Oryzias latipes: one gene and its partner. Each later gene encodes a partner of the first gene's protein in a complex. Links are inferred from orthologs where the notes say so. Each region holds a gene or a part of one and is shown in the gene's direction. Other genes may lie near its edges.

What was found.
Region 2: the proteins of cct5 (region 1) and dcaf12 are in contact, whole or in part, in a cryo-EM structure (PDB 8AJM), measured with the Homo sapiens proteins. The link is inferred for Oryzias latipes from reciprocal best matches to the Homo sapiens genes CCT5 and DCAF12. Residues at the interface, in NP_036205.1 of Homo sapiens: Gly537, Glu538, Ser539, Glu540, Glu541; in NP_056212.1 of Homo sapiens: Lys91, Phe93, Lys108, His144, Trp186, Phe188, Arg203, Lys254, Arg256, Glu298, Val300, Arg344, Phe411, Tyr422, Leu440, Pro441, Ser442, Gly443.

The regions. Positions count from the first base shown.
Region 1 is NC_019878.2:15,261,063-15,270,575, reverse strand, and holds cct5 (T-complex protein 1 subunit epsilon), read left to right. Parts: upstream 1-4,130; 5' UTR 4,131-4,425; coding exon 4,426-4,530; intron 4,531-4,896; coding exon 4,897-4,957; intron 4,958-5,054; coding exon 5,055-5,219; intron 5,220-5,308; coding exon 5,309-5,507; intron 5,508-5,663; coding exon 5,664-5,856; intron 5,857-6,090; coding exon 6,091-6,240; intron 6,241-6,373; coding exon 6,374-6,493; intron 6,494-7,055; coding exon 7,056-7,241; intron 7,242-7,327; coding exon 7,328-7,465; intron 7,466-7,556; coding exon 7,557-7,737; intron 7,738-7,816; coding exon 7,817-7,944; 3' UTR 7,945-8,146; downstream 8,147-9,513. Other genes in the region: mtrr (methionine synthase reductase), read right to left, coding at 1,171-1,259, 1,346-1,502, 1,586-1,696, 1,780-2,233, 2,649-2,766, 2,917-3,067, 3,195-3,338; cmbl (carboxymethylenebutenolidase homolog), read right to left, coding at 8,423-8,602, 8,678-8,769, 9,475-9,513. UniProt on the Homo sapiens protein: Component of the chaperonin-containing T-complex (TRiC), a molecular chaperone complex that assists the folding of actin, tubulin and other proteins upon ATP hydrolysis.
Region 2 is NC_019863.2:17,272,607-17,281,067, forward strand, and holds the end of dcaf12 (DDB1- and CUL4-associated factor 12), read left to right. Parts: coding exon 1-183; intron 184-2,620; coding exon 2,621-2,686; intron 2,687-2,804; coding exon 2,805-2,967; intron 2,968-3,140; coding exon 3,141-3,319; intron 3,320-3,445; coding exon 3,446-3,604; 3' UTR 3,605-5,162; downstream 5,163-8,461. Other genes in the region: ubap2 (ubiquitin-associated protein 2), read left to right, coding at 7,058-7,153, 7,812-7,889, 8,024-8,134. UniProt on the Homo sapiens protein: Substrate-recognition component of a DCX (DDB1-CUL4-X-box) E3 ubiquitin-protein ligase complex of the DesCEND (destruction via C-end degrons) pathway, which recognizes a C-degron located at the extreme C terminus of target proteins, leading to their ubiquitination and degradation.

The DNA.
Region 1 (9,513 bases):
CGCGCTGGCCAGAGCTGTCGGAGTAGATAGGAAGGGGAGACAAGGGGAGCGCGCGGGAGCGCGGATGCGTCGAGCCATTCTGCAGGCTGCAGCCAGGGCTTACTCGAGGCGTCCGCGGAGCAAGTGTTTGTTGTGGAAGGAAACTTCTGACCCACGCGCCGCGAGGAGGCGCGCGCTTTTCAGTCGTCGCTACTTTATTTTACTAGCGTGTTTTTTAACCAGCCCTGTTACTCCCATAACGCTGCCGCGACACAAGCGGAAGGAGAGCTTTACCCGTTCACCCCTCCATGCACTGCTGATACTTGCTCATTCTTAAACACGTACAACAGAATGGCGAGCCGGGCGTTGGCCCCGCCTTTAGCCCCTAAGACTCATGGGAAATGGGGGATCGGGGATGTAAATTTCCTCATTATAACTGAGGGATGTAATGTTGATTATATGGTTACTGTTTGTAATTTTATGTGTGATACCTAGATTGTCAATAAGTTAAAAAAAATAAAATAAAATAAAAACCATAACTGAGGAACTTGTGAACAGAATAGAGGTGCATACTGTTTGGCAGATGCAGATAGACTCAAGAACATGAGCCTGAGGCAAAACTGACTCCACCTACTGTGTGCTAATGAATCACACTTACACTCTGAGTCAGGAAGTGATCCGTCAGGATGACAATGTTGCCTAATTCATGCGGCTTGAACCCCGGCCGACGCGGCTTGTGTATGTATAAAATTAGTTAAACACGTGAAAATGGGTGGGTGCGGCTAATAATCGGGTGCGCTTTGTAGTCCGGAATTTACGGTATTTAAGGGGCGTGAAGACTGGACTCTGGAATAATGCAGAAGAAGATTGGGAAGTCGGATGAGTCCAGATTGACTCTGTTCAAGAGGAATCAGAGCGTTGGGGCAAAAAGGGGGGCAGATTCACCCATAAAAACGATAGCCAATCACACACAAGGCTTTGCTGTGATTGGTGCATCTGCTCTGGTAAAGGTTTAGCAATGAGACCAAACAGCAGAAATCGAACCATTCTTTTATACGAATTTTAAAATAAGTCTGCTTTTTTTGCTTTTTACTTTATCACAAAGCAAATAAAATCAGCACAGGTCAAATTCAATGTTTTTGCAAATACAGTAATAAAATGCCCAAATGTGAGGTTTGGATCTCACGGTACCTTCTTAGGAACACTTCTGATCTCCAGACACCAGGTGAACAGGAAGAGGAGGGAAACATTTTGGGGGATGTGTGGCGGCACATGAGCACCTTCGGGGGAGAAAAAGACATTTGTTTTCCAAAAACGTTTTTTTCTTTAAAAGACGAGTTTAAAATAAAAAAGAAGACACCGTTGCCTTTTTTCTTTGTGTCTTTTCTCAAAGCCACATGGACGCGATGGTCCCTTCGATCTTTAAGCCCCAGTCTGCAAAGCATGTAGTCCACCTCTTCCGCCCTATTTGGGCAGAGCACATCCAGAGAATCCCCGGGCTGGTAGGTCAATGCTGGGCAAGTCTGGAGTTCAAAATGGGGGTCAAATTATGAGAATATGGTCTAAATGTTCAGAACTCCTATTTAAACCATTTTCTGAAACCTACAGAAATGTCTAGCTCTAGTAGGAGAGCTGTCTTAACAGAGTCTCCTCTGCTTAGCAGAACTGCCTTAGATATGGGAACCTCATGGAAAGTCTCTTTTAGCGGTCCAACATTCTGAAATAAAAGATTCAACATGAGAAGAATTAGGAATGAAGGAAAGCATGAACTTTTTTTCTTTAATTTGCAGCATTCATTACCTGTTCTGGGGCATCCACCTCCACCAACGTAACATCCAAAAAGGGAGGGGGCAGAGCGGGAACATTAAGAGAAGACTGGGAAAGCGGCGGCACAGAGTTTGTCAGGGGAGATGACGAGGAAATGTGGGGAATCCCCTCATCCTTTGTCTGCATAGCATCATTCTGGGATACAAACTCAGTCCTTCCTGAAAAAGTGCTTGGGTTTTGACCAGAAGAGGTAGATGGAGCCGAAGGCACATTATGAAAGTCCGTTTGAACGGCTTCCTGGCTCCGCTGATCAGTGATGCTTAACAGGTTTAGCTGCACATCCGGTTGGGTTAAACCCAGAAATTCCTTTGCTGAATCTTTCACGTTCGCTTCAGACTCATCATTCCTCACGGAAGCCATTTTAGATGAAGCCTCTTTGACGGCTTTCCAAAGTCCTTCAAGCCACGGGTCCACAACCAGTTCCAACCTACAGATATACAAAACCCACATTTTACAAAAGCAGTAGTAGTAAAAAAAAAACATTGGAAAAAGCTAATTACTGGAATTTTAAGGCCATAAAGTTTCACTTAGGCTGGAAAAAAAGAAAAATGTCAGATTTCATACTGACCAAACCACCTGAAACCACTAAAGACACAACCAAAGCAGCTCTGCTTTTCCTCTAACCATCATTTCATGATACATCTCCTCGCTACACCACATTTTCCCAGCCCCGTTTTCAGCCCAACCGAGGTTTGCTTGATTGGTCTCCACTACAACTCACAAGAGCTTTTACACTTGTCTAGAAAAGGGGATTCTCTGGAGGAGACTAAACAGCCTATTGTAAAAGCAATGTAAGTATTTTGCAAGCATTCCGACATGCATGTTTTCCTGGCAGAACCTACCCCACACCGTCATCTGCGAATCCAGCTGGATAGAACTGCCTGGCTCCGAGTGCCTGCAGTCTACGCTCAATTGTCTTCCCACAGTTGCAGAAATTAGCATAATTTGTGTCTCCTAAAGCTGATACGGAAAATAAAACCAGATTAGGGTTAAGCAGCAACCTTTCAAAAGTTAAATTATAAGCAAAGCATTCGAAAGTTTAAACATGAATTGCAACGTCTAGGATGATTGTTTTAAATAGCAGAAATCGATCATGTAATTAGAATTTACCCAAAAGTGTATAAGAAAGGTGTTTATAGTGGTCGGGAGATTGGTTCTTGTTGATTCTCTTGACAAATTGGAGCGCGTTGTCGGGCGGTTCCCCATCGCCAGTGGTAGAGACGACAAAGACTACAGGGGCGATCTCTTTCTCCAAATTGTACTGTAAAAGATTAGATCCATGAGGAAACAAACACACAATCAGCACAAAAAGAGGGATTATTATTACTGAAGAAGTAGAATTTTTCAAGGTGGAAGCTGTGCGATCTTGAGATATGTGTTGATGCCACCTTCTCGTCTTGGTTTAAACAGCTCAGTTCAGCAACCAACCCGTGGTCCTCTGCCTCTTCAGCAATCCCCTCTGCAATGGACTGGGCCTGGCCCTTTTGAGAGCCGTACAGGACCACAAACCGAGATTTGGTCTCACAAGGCATGCTACAAAACAAAGAGAAATAATAATGCTTTTTAGAGTTTACAAAGACATTTACGTATTTTGTGGTTAATGTCATTAGTAACATAAGTACAGTAACGGGAGTATTACGTCATGTGAACTAACCAGAATCCACAGATACCAAAATAAATATATTATTTCTATTTCTCACAACAAGAAAGTAAATAACAATAAGTAAAACAATAATACTGTCACTTAAGTCAAAGGCAACAGTTACTGCTAGATGGACAATTCAATTTGGATTATCCTCTGAACTGGAAGTGATGGTCTCGCTTACCAATATGCGTGGAAGAAGCAGGCAGGACAATAAAAGTGCCTTAACAGTGTAATGAAACACTTTCCTCCATCATGACACCACCATAACAGTGCCCGGATGTTGCGTAACGTATTACGTAGCCAGAAGAAATCATAACGCCCCACGTGAAACGTTTAAACTTTTACTGTCTCACAGCACTAAATCAAAACTAAACCTTGAGGTAGTAACTTTAAATCGCGCTGCAATGGAGAAGTAGGAATAATATCAACCAAGAAGAATCCCGGCTCGATCACGAAATTACATTTGGGAACCTTATTAACTTCATCTTGTGTATCGAACATGTAAAAATACCTTGTGGGAAAAAAAACATTTCTGCATCAGTCGTGTAAACTTTTCAGACATATTTACCTTCGCGTAGCAGCTCATTTAATTCTAGATCCACTCCTATGCCAGCCACTCCACTCATTGAGATCTCGCGAGACTCTAAACAAAAAAAAAACACAAACGTAATCGGCCCGAACCAAGTTGGAAATTATATTTTTAGCTTAAGCACTAAAACTATTCCTTATTGCAAGTTTATATTTGCATAATTTATAAATAAATTACATTGAATTTTAATTTTTTATCTTGACATGATGAGGTATTCAAACATTTAGAAAAGGTTTTTTGAAAGTATTTGGTTCCGCCCTCCCCGTCCGTGGAGCCTTCCAGAAGTACCGGCAGACTCGTGCTCAGCCACGCTCCAGCTAAAACATCGGATAAACTAATCATACAGTAGTTAAACTCTCGTGGAGTATTTTCTACCCAAGTCAAGATGTCCACATTAGGGACACTGGCGTTTGATGAGTATGGGAGGCCTTTCATCATCATTAAAGACCAGGACAAGAAGACTCGGTTAACGGGCATTGACGCATTGAAGGTACAATGGGCTAGCTAGTGAAGCATAAACCTGGTGGTGTGATGACCTGCAAATGTAACATGTGTTGCTTGTAATAATAATATTTAAGGCCTACATGTAAATACGTATTTGACCCTTTTATTTGGAGTCATTTTGTCTTCTGTTGTAAATTTGTAGCGTGATAGCATCTATGTAGTTAACGCGGATTAGCCAAAAATGCTAATGCGGGCCCATGTGGTTTTAGCTAGCGGGGTGTAGCTGCTCCCAAAAATGGTAATCAGTGACGCAGATCATTAACATATTTGAAGTACACACTGCAACGTCTTAAGATAAAATATAGGTAAAAGTTGTATCATGATTCCACGTTAATATTTTTATGTTTTGCAGTCTCACATCATGGCAGCCAAGGCGGTCGCTGGAACGCTCAGGACATCTCTGGGTCCTAATGGTAATTCTGAAATCATAGTGTGTGTCAAATCTAAAAGCAGCACAGACAAATGCAGATTGTAATGAACTCTTTCTTCATTTTTCATTTTTGCATGCAGGTCTTGACAAAATGATGGTTGACAGGGATGGGGAAGTAACTGTCACCAACGATGGAGCCACTATCCTCAGTATGATGGATGTTGACCACCAGATTGCTAAACTTATGGTAGAGCTGTCCAAGTCTCAAGATGATGAGATCGGCGATGGGACTACTGGAGTAGTAGGTATGTGGCTTGTCAAAGATTGTAGGATTGCATTGGTTATACTTTTTTATGAGATAACTGTTGCTTTATTTATTTGTAATCTTTCTTAGTGCTGGCTGGAGCATTGCTGGAGGAGGCTGAGCTGCTGCTGGATCGTGGGATCCACCCCATCAGGATCTCAGATGGTTATGACCAGGCTGCACGGATCGCCATAGAGAAGCTGGACAAAATTGCAGAAACCTTCCCCTGTGATCCAAACAACTTGGAACCACTCATTCAAACTGCCATGACAACACTGGGATCCAAAGTGTAAGGGAGTTTTTTTTTACAGAAAATGTGTTGCTTCTTCACAGCATGTTTTGTTAAACCTTAATTAAGACTTTATTTCTGTAATTATGGTTATAGTTTTCAAACACAAAAACTAAGCACAATTTCTGATCTGCTATAAACTGTTGTGTGTTCTAGTATCAACCGGTGTCACAGACAGATGGCAGAGATCGCTGTAAACGCCATCCTCACTGTGGCTGACATGCAGAGGAAGGATGTCGACTTCGAACTCATTAAGGTGGAGGGCAAAGTGGGAGGGAAGCTGGAGGACACACAGCTCATCAAGGGAGTTATTGTTGACAAGGAGTTCAGCCACCCCCAGATGCCCAAGGTATGAACGGAGTCTTAAATGGATTCTCAGGAAACTGCCTAATGCCTTTTACCTCTCTGTAAGTAGACAGATAAAAGGTCAGTTTGAAATTGATTTCACATCCTGGTAACTAAAAATAAAAAATAAAAAAAAATACATATCTCTTTAATGAAACACTTTATTCTAGGGACAATTATTGTTGCCACAGTTAAGAACGCTTTTTTTCTCTGAAATGTTTTCCTTTTTGTAACTTAGGAACTGAAAGATGTCAAAATTGCCATCCTAACCTGCCCCTTTGAGCCACCTAAACCCAAGACCAAGCATAAGCTGGATGTGACCTCTGTGGAGGACTACAAAGCCCTGCAGAAATATGAAAAAGAGAAGTTTGAGGAGATGATCCAGCAGGTCAGTAATCAAAGAATCTGTTGGCTACTTGATTATCAGCAAAGTATAAACAATATTAAATATAGAAGCAACAAAAATAGTGATGTGCGGGGTTCTTGTTAAAATGCAAAACATACAATTGTTTTGCGTTTAGGTCAAAAGCAACGGTGCCAACTTGGCCATCTGTCAGTGGGGCTTTGACGACGAGGCGAACCACCTTCTGCTGCAGAATGAGCTGCCTGCTGTGCGCTGGGTTGGAGGACCTGAGATCGAGGTGGGATGCTTTACATGCTGTGGAACCTTTACAGTTCTACTTTTGTTAGCCACCTTCAAACTTTAATCTTAATTCACATTATTTTGTTGTCATTCCTGCAGAAAACTTACTTTTACCAATAAAGTTGTGACACATTGCAGAATAAATGGCAGTTATAAACAGCTAGAGCTATAAAGCGGTCAAAGTTGAGAATGTTAATTTTCTATGATGTGAAAAATCTTCCAAAAATGTCAGTCAAGTGGGGATAAACCAATTGGAAGTTTTTTGCTTGTAAAATATTTAGAATGGAAGGTTAAGCCGTTTGTGCAGACACAAAACCATAGTAAAAATAAATTTAATCATATCAGATTGTTACCTGATGTCAAAACAAACATGTCTACTTCATTCCCATTGTAAGCTACTTCCACATTTCTATCATAGACTGCTTTTTAGTAGATGAAAGTAGTTGATCTTTTGTATTGGGGGGCGGAAACTGTTGTTAAAAAAATGTCATATTTGGTGTTGATGTTTCAACACAAAGTTTGTAAAGAAAGTTCACCTTCTCTGAAACCTGCTCTGGCAGTTGATCGCCATCGCCACAGGAGGTCGCATTGTGCCGCGGTTCAGTGAGCTGACGCCCGAGAAGCTGGGCACAGCTGGTTTAGTGAAGGAGCTCTCCTTCGGCACCACCAAGGATCACATGTTGGTTATTCAGGAGTGCAAAAACACCAGGGCTGTAACCATTTTCATCCGTGGGGGCAACAAGATGGTTAGTCTGTCTTATCACTCTCACACTTTTTTTTGTGTGTGTGTGTGTGCTGGGGATTATTGCTAATTCTCTGTCTTTCCTACCAGATCATTGAGGAGGCCAAGCGCGCGCTCCACGATGCTTTGTGTGTAATTCGCAATTTGATCCGAGACAACCGTGTTGTTTATGGGGGTGGAGCCTCAGAGATCGCATGTGCCCTGGCGGTAAATCGGGCTGCAGATAAGGTGAGACTCTAAAGTTGATGTTTCAGACCTGGCAACCCATTTCTGCTTCAAATGTCGCAGAGTTATATCTTTTGTAAATGTTCTGTTTCAGTGCCCATCATTGGAGCAGTATGCCATGCGGTCGTTTGCCGATGCTTTAGAAGTCATCCCAATGGCTTTGGCTGAAAACAGCGGACTGAACCCCATCCAGACCATGGCAGAGGTCCGAGCCAGACAAGTCAAAGACAACAACCCTTTCCTTGGCATTGACTGTTTACACAAAAACACCAACGGTAAGAGCAGGTTGTGGTCAAAAAGCTACCAAAATACCTGGAACTAGTATTGAGAATCTGTTTCTGTTCTTTTCTAAAGACATGAAGCAGCAACACGTGATCGAGACTCTGATCGCCAAAAAGCAGCAGATCTCCCTGGCTACCCAGGTGGTCAGGATGATCCTGAAGATCGATGACATCCGGAGCCCTGGAGAGACCGAGGAATGAAGTCGACACTTGATGTTCTGAAACGCTCGAGGTCTTTGGCACTTCCTCAAGCTTCATGTTCAAACCGCACCGCACATTCGTATTTATCATTTGGTACTTGTTCCAGCTGTTGTAGTATCAAAGTCAACAATAAAATGTTGATCTAATCGAATTTCAGGAGTCTTCAACTGTGCTTTAAATAAAATAAACTCTCTTGTCCTTCTGTCTGCATCAGATCATTTCAAACATTATCCCAAAGAATTTTTTATTTTATTGACATTAAGATGTTCGTTCTTTAGAAAATAAAACTTTGAAAATGATAACATGGAGAGCGTTTGCATGTTAGCCATATTTCAACCACTTCAGTCATCTTGTCAACTATTTAATGCATATGTGTTTAGGACAGTTAAGAAAAAAAACATTCAATTAGGAGCAATTTTTACAGAATCTCGTAAGTCGATGCTTATTTCTTTCATTGGTTTCTATATTGCGAATGTCTTCAGCAGTATTTGTTGAGCCAGTTCAGCATGTCTTTTCTTGCCTCCTGGATGTACGGTTTGTCTGCCGGGTTGATGTCTTCTCTCTTCCGGTGGACGAAGCCGTGAGTTTGACCAGGAAATATTTTCACCTGGTGCTCTACGGTACATTTTTCCTTCAGCTTCGCCTCTAGGGCATTCACCTTCACAGAGCAAGTAGAATAATTATAAAATGAAATGGAGAAGTTAGGCCTAAGTGTCACTCAAAGCACACACACCTGGTCAAGAGGGATAACCTGATCCACCTCTGCAAAAATGAACAGAGTGGGGCTCTTGAGGGCGTACCTGTCCTCTCTTTCTCGAACTATTCCTACGCAGAAAAAACAAAACATTCAAATTAGTGCCGTCATTCGAATAATTAATTTATGACCTGAAATTAATCTATTTTTTTAATTTGACCTAATAATTGCTGTGAAAAGACTCATTTTGAGATCTTTTTATTTAATTTTGTGACATCGTGGTGCAGTAGAACAATTTAAAAAGCGGTTTTATGACGTTTTTTATAACAGACTTCTTCCAACCTTCCCTTTTATACCACCAGGGGGTATTTGTCAATCTAAAACAAAAAGAAAGAAAAAACAATACAGCAGGTCCAGAGTGCTCTAATTGAACAAATCAAAAAAGCAGTGTGAGGCGCTGAAGCCTTTACCATGACAACATGTCGCACTGCGTATCAAATAGTCTGCTTTTAGGGAAAAAATAAACCTAAAACGATACGATTAAATGATTAATAATTGATTACATATTTATTTCTTTTGAAAGTGACCATAAAAAGCAGTAGAATCCCCTTCGAGGTGTCCATTATCAGAAATTCAGAAAAAAATAATGAAAACTGACACCTCGTCGGGATTTATCCCTTACTTAATAGATATGCGTTATAGATAAAAACTGAGATTAATTTAATAAAAAAACACGCTTATGTCTCTTCAATAATTTATCAGGATTAATGCGATTATTTGAATTCCAATGTCATTTAAAGGCTTCACTCAGAAATCTGTGTGTCTGGATGGCGTACCGTAAACAGAAACTCCGGCTTTCACCTCTGGATACTGCA
Region 2 (8,461 bases), on another chromosome or scaffold:
GGCTCCATGGGTCTTTGGGAAGTGACAGAGGAAGTGATGAATCAGGCTGAGCGGAGTCAGAGTGAAGAGAACATACCTTCCTACGCCCACATCTCCCACCGGGCTCTCAAGGACATCCCCAAAGAGTGCACCAACCCATACAACTGTAAAGTCCGTGCTCTTGCCTTCAACGACAGCCATAAAGTAAGGTTCCTCCCATGCAGGAAGCAACCATTTAATGATCCAAAAAATGGTCGCACTATACTTACTGGCAATATTTTGGAGACCGAAGCTTTCAAAGTTGAAATTCAAACTATTGATTAGGTTAAAATAAGCACTTTCATTCCGTTGTTGGAGAATTAAACGTTAATTGATTATGGTGCAATTTCTTTTAATGTTTACATAATTCCTGTAGCAAGAGCTTCTATCATTCATGTTATTCTTGTTTCTATTAGCTTATATTTTGAGCATTTTCTTCCGAGATATGCAGTTGTGCAAGTTTAATCGAGAAGATTGAAGTACTACGCTTGGTACTGAAGTTTACCCTTTACTAAACTCACTACTATTGAGTTTATCTGTACTGTCAATAATTACAGAGTTCCATATTTCCAGCAAATTCAATACTTCGTACAGTATATAAATATTTCATATTTACTGATCAAGATAACATGTTTGTGCTGTTGCTATGGGTTACTTTACATAGTGGACTATGCGATTAATTGTTGTTCAGAGGAGTCCAGAATCTTCAACACAATAATAAACCACAGTGTGTTTTATTATCTCTGAACTCTCATCACATGGTCACTCTGTGTCCCACAGGACAATAGATTTCTGCTGCCAGAGCTGAAATAACACATAAGACAGACAAGAATAAGCTCATAGAACCTTTTCACTTGCATATCTGTCAGTGTGCAGTCTGAACATCTACACACTATGGATTTTTTTTAGGAAAATTTGGGATTTGTTTTTTTCCCGGCATCCTCCTCCCTCGGGCTTCCGCTGTTCGTAGTAAGGTCAGCCTGCTGGTCTTTCTCTTTGGACAGAGTTTTAGGGCCAGTTGACAAACAATTCTTTTTTTAAATTACAACTTTTAAGTCGTAAATTTTCCAGAAAAAAGTCCTAACTGTTAAATTTCAAGAATACATTTTTTTCCACGTACATCTACGAGAGAAAAAAGTCATAAATTAACGAGGAAAAAAACGCCATAGTTGTCTCTTTATCGAAGCCTAGCTTGAAGATGAAAGCTGTGGAGCATTTTGTGAAGCTTTATTTCCGGATAGGTTTCAAAAACAAAGAAGTTCCCACACAGTGGACCGTTTGGCGACTCAAAATCAGATTATTATTAGTGTAGCCGGCTTTCCGGGGTTCGGTGTCGGTGAAACGGAGTTTATATGTAGAATAAGGAGCTCAGAGACAAGTTAGGGTGAAGAGGACCGCAACTTTATTTTCCTTTTCATTCCCATACCAGAAGTCCATCTGTCACCTTGCGTCATGAACCTGTCACGCGCAGAACACTAAAGCGGAAGGTAAACATTGTTACATACACCCCTTCCAGATGAAACGTCCCGTTTCAACATAAAACAACAAAGATGAATAGCCGGTTATATCAACATAAGAGCATTGAAAAAGCCTGAAAGTGCACTTTCTCAGTCGGAAGCGTCACACATGCCTAGAGACTTTGTTTCGTGGAGGAAGAAGGGATTGAAGTGAACAGCTGCAGGGACACCGATGGCTTCATCAACGGGCTGCAGAGATCCTGCAAGCCGCCAATCGATAAATAAAACGGGAATAAAAACGTAAATCAAACAAATGAGCTTTCAAACACTTCTTTTGATGGCCCTAAAACTTTGTCGTACTCTAGCAACGTGCAGACGTTAAAATTTACAACGAATAAGGAGGAGCTAGTTTTCTTCAGTTCTATGGAACTGGTTTGTTATTCAGGTCATCTCCCACAGGAGATGTTAAAAAAAAAAAAAAAAAAAAAAAAAAAAACAACGTTTTTGTGAAATGTGCTCTATCATTTGTAACTTGTTTGAGACTGTAAAGGGAGGGAGAAAAATCTCTGCTGTTATTTGAGGTGTTATTTTTAGGCCATATCACCCAGCCCTCCTACACGCATGAAGGTTTATGCCACAGTGAGTCAAATTATGACGATTTCAGAGAAAAAACTCAACAGGTTCTCTCATTTATGATTCAAAAAAACAAACAAACTTATAATTAATTTCCTCTAGATTTTAACGTAACTCGCTTTCAACTCATAATTATCTCTGATCAGGTAAAGTGCAAACTATTTAAACATAGTAGAATTTCATCCTGAGGTATACTATGCTATATTTAGGTACATTTATTGTAAAGGCTGCTCTTCTGTCTAATTAGTGCAGAAACAACAAATCTCTGGAATTATAATGCATTACTACCAATAATGCTTTATCAGAGTCGAGCCATCCTGTTTCAATTCATTACTTCTTGGAAAGTATGACCATTTTTATTTGTATCAAAGAAAAGTATTTGTACCTTTATTTCATGTTTAGGAATTAGTGAAGTTTATGGATTTATGGTGAATTATAATTACATTGCTTTGGGTTTTTCTCTTTATGCTTCAGCTATTTGATTTATCAGCTCTTTTTTTCTCCTTTCAAAGGAACTGGGTGCTGTGTCTTTGGATGGCTATTTCCACCTCTGGAAAGCAGAGCATAACTTGTTCAAGGTAAACTAAATCAACCATAACTTTTTATTGATTAATTTCAATTGTTAATATTTCAGTGTCAGTTTTGCATGAAAGCGGTGCCTGTTCTTAATGTATGGTTTAACACTGATTTGTGCAGATTCTGTCCACCAAGCTGCCTCACTCCAAAGAGAATGTGTGTTTAGCGTACGGCCAGGACTGGTCGGTTTATGCGGTGGGTTCTCAGGCCCATGTTTCCTTCTTGGATCCACGCCAGCCAACACACAGCATCAAGTCTGTTAGTTCCAGAGAGAGAGGCAGTGGTAAGTCATCTGAAAATCCAGAGCAGATTAGAAACACAAGCATGTGACAGTTGTTGATCTGTTTTGGTAAATATTAAATAAAGATGTTTGGGTATGAAACAGAATGAGATGTTTCCCTCTGTATAAGTGGAGGGATTTGCCATATTAACATGTGTGCGTCTTCTCCCTTCCAGGGATCCGTTCAGTGAGTTTCTATGAGCACATTGTGACAGTGGGGACCGGCCAGGGTTCCCTTCTCTTCTATGATATTCGGGCTCAAAGATTCCTGGAGAACCCTTTTAGTCCTACCAATGTGTGTCGGAAATGTCCCGCTGATGGGATCCTCAAGCTTTCAACAGGAAAAGGCTGGCTGGTATGAAGAATTTTTGTTTAAAAGCTAAAAAAAAAAAAGGATATTCTCAATGAAATATTACCCTGATGAATGATGATAAATGATGACAGAAATAGTCAGGGTTTTTCTTGTTTCTTTTTTGTGCAGAACCACGATGAAACATGGAGGAGTTACTTCTCAGATATTCATTCTTTTCCCAACGCCGTGTACACCCACTGCTATGACGACTCCGGCACAAAGCTCTTTGTAGCCGGCGGCCCGCTCTGTTCAGGCCTTCACGGAAACTACGCAGGCCTGTGGAGTTAGCTTCTCCCATCGATCCGTCACAAAGTTCTCCTTCAGCTCTACCTATCCTATCCCTCGGCCTCCCTCAACTTCATCTACATCACTGTCCAGAAAACCTCCTCCTCCTGCTTTAGGAGGGCGTTCAGCCCACACGTGGACTCAGGAGCATGATCTTTCCTCCTTTCAATATGATTGTCGTCTGTGTTTGTGTCTCTATTTACATCATACTTTTCTACATCGCTGTCCTAACGCACTTTCCCGCTTTTTAAGTAATTTATACAAATGTACAGTTACCTAATAAATTAAAGAGCTGCTAAGTGTGCCACTGAGAAACTCAGATGGGGTTTGAAAAACATTAAGAATAAAAGTAAACTTTTTTACCGTCATGTATACATCCAATCTGCAGGGATTAGGCTGTGTTCTTTGGTATTTACATTTGTACACAGGAAACAAATGCTTCTCCTGTGATTAAACAAGTGATGTTTTTTTTTCTTTTTGTATCCATTCTTTCACTTTTACTCACTTAAATCAACTACATTAAAAGAAAAAAGAGGGAGAAAGGCCAGAGGGATGGAAGAGACTTTTCGTTTTGTAGGACTTGGACATTTGACAGAATTTTTACAGGTTGGACTGCAAGCAAAAAAAAGAAAGGAAAACACAAGGAACTCTTCTGTTGGAATCAAAACGAGAAATTGTGCTTCTCCCCTTCATCTGCATGAAGAGGAGGATCCTTCTGATTGGTAGATGCAATTTGGTTCTTGCTCTATGACTTTATTTTTATTTTTTTGACTGGGCTTTGACAGGCACACCCCTCATAATAACCCCTTTACTCTGTATTTATTCTCCCCCTCTTTTCTGTCAATTTCATTTGTATAATTTGCATCATTTTTTGAAAGGAGTGTTTCCTGTTTGCCCTTTGCTTTGTGTTTGGTGTGATCTCTTTGGTTTTCCATTATCTAAAACTGCTGTTCCTTGAGAACTCTGCCTAGGTTTTAAAAAAAAACAGCTTTATTAATGACTACCGGTAAAAGAAAAACATTTGATCAATGGATTTAGACCCACATGAACTTGTGAGAGGAATTGTAGTGGCTCAGCTTGGTATAAATACAAGGAGAACATGGATTTATAAGCTACAGATGCATTTGCTTTTACTCCACTGAACCCAGGAGTGAGTTCTGAATTTTGATTTTCCATTGTTTGGTAGAGACAGGGTAGGCAAGATGTTGCTTTTTGCCTTCCTCAAGTCTTTCCGTGAAAGACTATCACATGTAATCATCGTTTTCCTTTTTCTACATGCAACTTTTGTCTTCTTGTAGTGATAATGATCGGGACGGGAAATCCACAGCAAATTAAATCGATTCACTCTTAAAAAACATATTTTATATACAGGTGTGTGTGTACAATGTGTCTGTAAAATGCTTAAGGACAAGTGCATATATTTTATGTATATGTCTGAGGAAAGGGTGTTCATTAATGTCTACTTGGTGATACATTTTTTATACACGCCTTGTGAGTGTTTTTACAAATGACTGAAAGTGCAAATATTCTAAAATATTAACAGCTGGGGGGGGGGGGGGGGGGTGCGCCGTTCTTAGAAATAAGCAAATAATACAAATAAAACATATATCATTGTAACGTGATGTGTGATTCGATTTAAATTGTGATTTTTATTTTTTAGGGGCCTTTGTGTTTAGAGATCCGATGCGTTGCATAGTTTGCAGTAATTCTTCATCGCAGTTGCTGACAGTTGTGATCTTTGAGTAAGCGCGGCAGATGAGAGCGGAGCATCCACAGAGGCAGCGCGAGTCACGTGACCACCTTGTCTGCTGCTGGCCGAGAGGCGTGTTAGCAGGTACCAAAAACACACATTTTTCCGCTAATCTTAACTTTAGTCGAAGTGATTTTTTTAATCGTGTAAACATTGTGGTTAACTGTATTTGAGTGGAATAGTTACTCGTCGTCTGGGTTCGTTCGCTTCACGAGGGGTTTTCGAAAACCTTTACCGTTTTTCCTGTTGTCTTGATTCCCGGCGAGCAATGTCGGGATAGGATTTCGCACCGCGAGGCCTTTTTTTCTTGTTAACAATACATTCACTCCTGGTGGTTTCCTTCAGCTCTCGGTATTAACTCAATTTCTCCGCTTTTAAAAATCATGGCGCTCGAATAATATGAGGCGCTGTATGACGGTAGTTTGTTGGCCGTTGGCAATGGCTATCAACTTGGACCAGATTTAGATAGCATCGTTAGCATCTCTCCTGCTGCATCGTTTGTTCCAAGATCAACGCTTCGGTGTCCGCTGTAGCACGGAACGGCTAACTTCATGCTAGCGAGAACAAAACGGAGCGCTCTGCGAACGACGAAAAGTCAGTCGATGTTTAATTGACAGTATGTTGGAGACACTTTAAACGTTTAGTGACTTTGTTTTGGGAGCTGGAAGTCACAGAGTTATCTTATATCGACTCTGGAAACGAGAGACATAACAACAAGCTAATGTTAGCATTCACTCAAAACAACGCTTTGGGGATTTTTTTTTCAACAGGATAGTGTATTATTCTTATTTAATCTTTCACATGTAGTCTTATCGTCGCAGTGACGCTAAATTTAATGTTTAATATTTTTTTCTTTGATTTGACAAAAACTATAGCCGCTGAATGGTTGTTTTGTTATTGTTTGAGTCCTCCGACTGTCATCATATTTATTTGTGTATATTTTTATAACCCTACATTTGTTCTGTGAAACTGTGTTGGATTGCAGAAACGTAGATTTGACCCTTTTCATTTATAAAATGATGTTGCTGAAATTCTGTTTATTAAAGGATTTTTTTGTTGCCGTAGCTTTGTTCAGCTCGGCAGCCAATAGCAGCTTCGTATTTGTCAACGTCACCTTAGAGCTGGATTGCCATTGTTCTCTGACACGTCATAAATGGGTCAATAAATGGAATCGAGACCTATTATGACAATCCACACCATAGTGGAAGATTATATGGCATCGTCTGGCGCACTTTCTTTGCTATATAGTTTGACAATAATAAAAACCAATGTCTTGCATTTATTTGAAAATTTCTTGGTTATATTTGTATATATGTACATACACGAGTATGTAAAAAAAAAAATAGATTTAGCATATTTTAGAGTTTAAATTGTGTTTAATTAAGATTTACAACCAGTAAAAAAGGGTGTGATGTTAGGGTCTGTAGTCTTTTTTCTTCTGCTTCTCTAACAGACTGGTTTATACTGGTAGAACAGTGACTGCTCCTCCTTTTTGGCACAGATTTTTGCAAAGCTGATAGGCTAAGCAAATCAATCAGATCTAACAAGGTCAACATTTGTTTGATGCGAACGTTTCGGGCTATTGTAATGTAAAAATAAATATATTTTGAGTTATTTTACAGTCCGATGATAAAATTTGTGCCTTGTCTTTTTTGTTTTTGCAGGTTTTTCTATTTTGTACATACAGAGTTTTGTATATACTGTATATGATGAGCTCGCTGGGCAGCGAAAAGTCCCGGGGCCCTCGGGATAAAGCGCTGCCAGCTGCTACTCATGTATCACAACCACAGAAGCAAATACAGGTAAGTCAGTTAAACTAAAAAAATAAACTTAAAAAAAGCTTGATTTTTAATGGACATATGTCATCATAAAAGCAAAATGGCTGTAGGGTTGTACACCAACAAAGCACACATTTAAAGCTCTAATTGTGTGTGCGTGTGTTTGTATATGTAACATAGCATGTGACACATTTTTAATGCAAAAGCATAAACTTTCTTGGATGTCATAAATGTAAAAAAGCGGAAACAAAATGTGTTTCTTTAAAGTATCTTCCAATACTTGTGCATTTTATTACTTGGTGGTAAAAGTATGATCACATTTTCTCCTTCACAAGGAAAGCGAGAAGTTCTCCATGGATTTATGATTTGGATTCCATAAAATCTTTTCAATTAGGCGCTTTAAATCATTCAATCAACATGCAATTCTGTATGAAATGTTAAAGAATTTGTCTCTTTCAGTTTCTTTTTCAACCGTTTCTCCTTTTTTTGTTTGTTCTTTTTTTAATGTGTCATCAAAACATCAATAATTTGGTCCACACAGAGAATGCTGGGAAAAAAAGTAAAAAACAAAAAAAACCTAATTGTAATTGGAGCAAATTGTTTTGGTATTAAAGAGCAAAAAAAAAAACAATTCCAAACATAATCTACAAACTGTGTGTGTGTGTGTGTGTGTGTGTTGAAGGCTACTGCTGAGCAGATCCGCCTTGCTCAGATGATCTTTGACAAGAATGATGCTGACTTTGAGGACAAAGTTAATCAGGTGAAGAAACCCGTCAATCTTTGGCAGACTTTACAAATTGGTGACATGTTTTTCCGTTCCACCCACCCACCAGCATTAGGATTTGGTTTCCTGTGTTCCTGGTTAATGTTAAGACGTGTCTATTACTGTTTTAGCTGATGGAAGTGACCGGGAAGAACCAGGATGAATGCATGGTAGCTCTTCATGACTGCAATGAGGATGTCAGTCGAGCCATCAATTTCCTCCTGGAAAGCACCTCAGACATGGTAATCAGAACCTTATTATTAATATTATTTTTCCTTTTTTAATCACATTTAATTCGTTTCAGTATTTGCTTGATAATGAAAGAATGCTGCAATTTTTATGTTAACCATTTCTAAAATATAAAGGTAATTTTTTAAAACTTATTTGTACCTCATAAATAAATGCACATAGTGTTTAAAGGGCCTGTATCATGCTTTTCTTAAGCCTTTCAGAGTAAACTACCGGGATATCCATATATGTGATAATATTGGTACACTAAAGTGCGATTCTTTTTTATTTTTATTTTCGCGACCTCATTTCCTACCAGGAAGTAAGACGACTCGATCTCT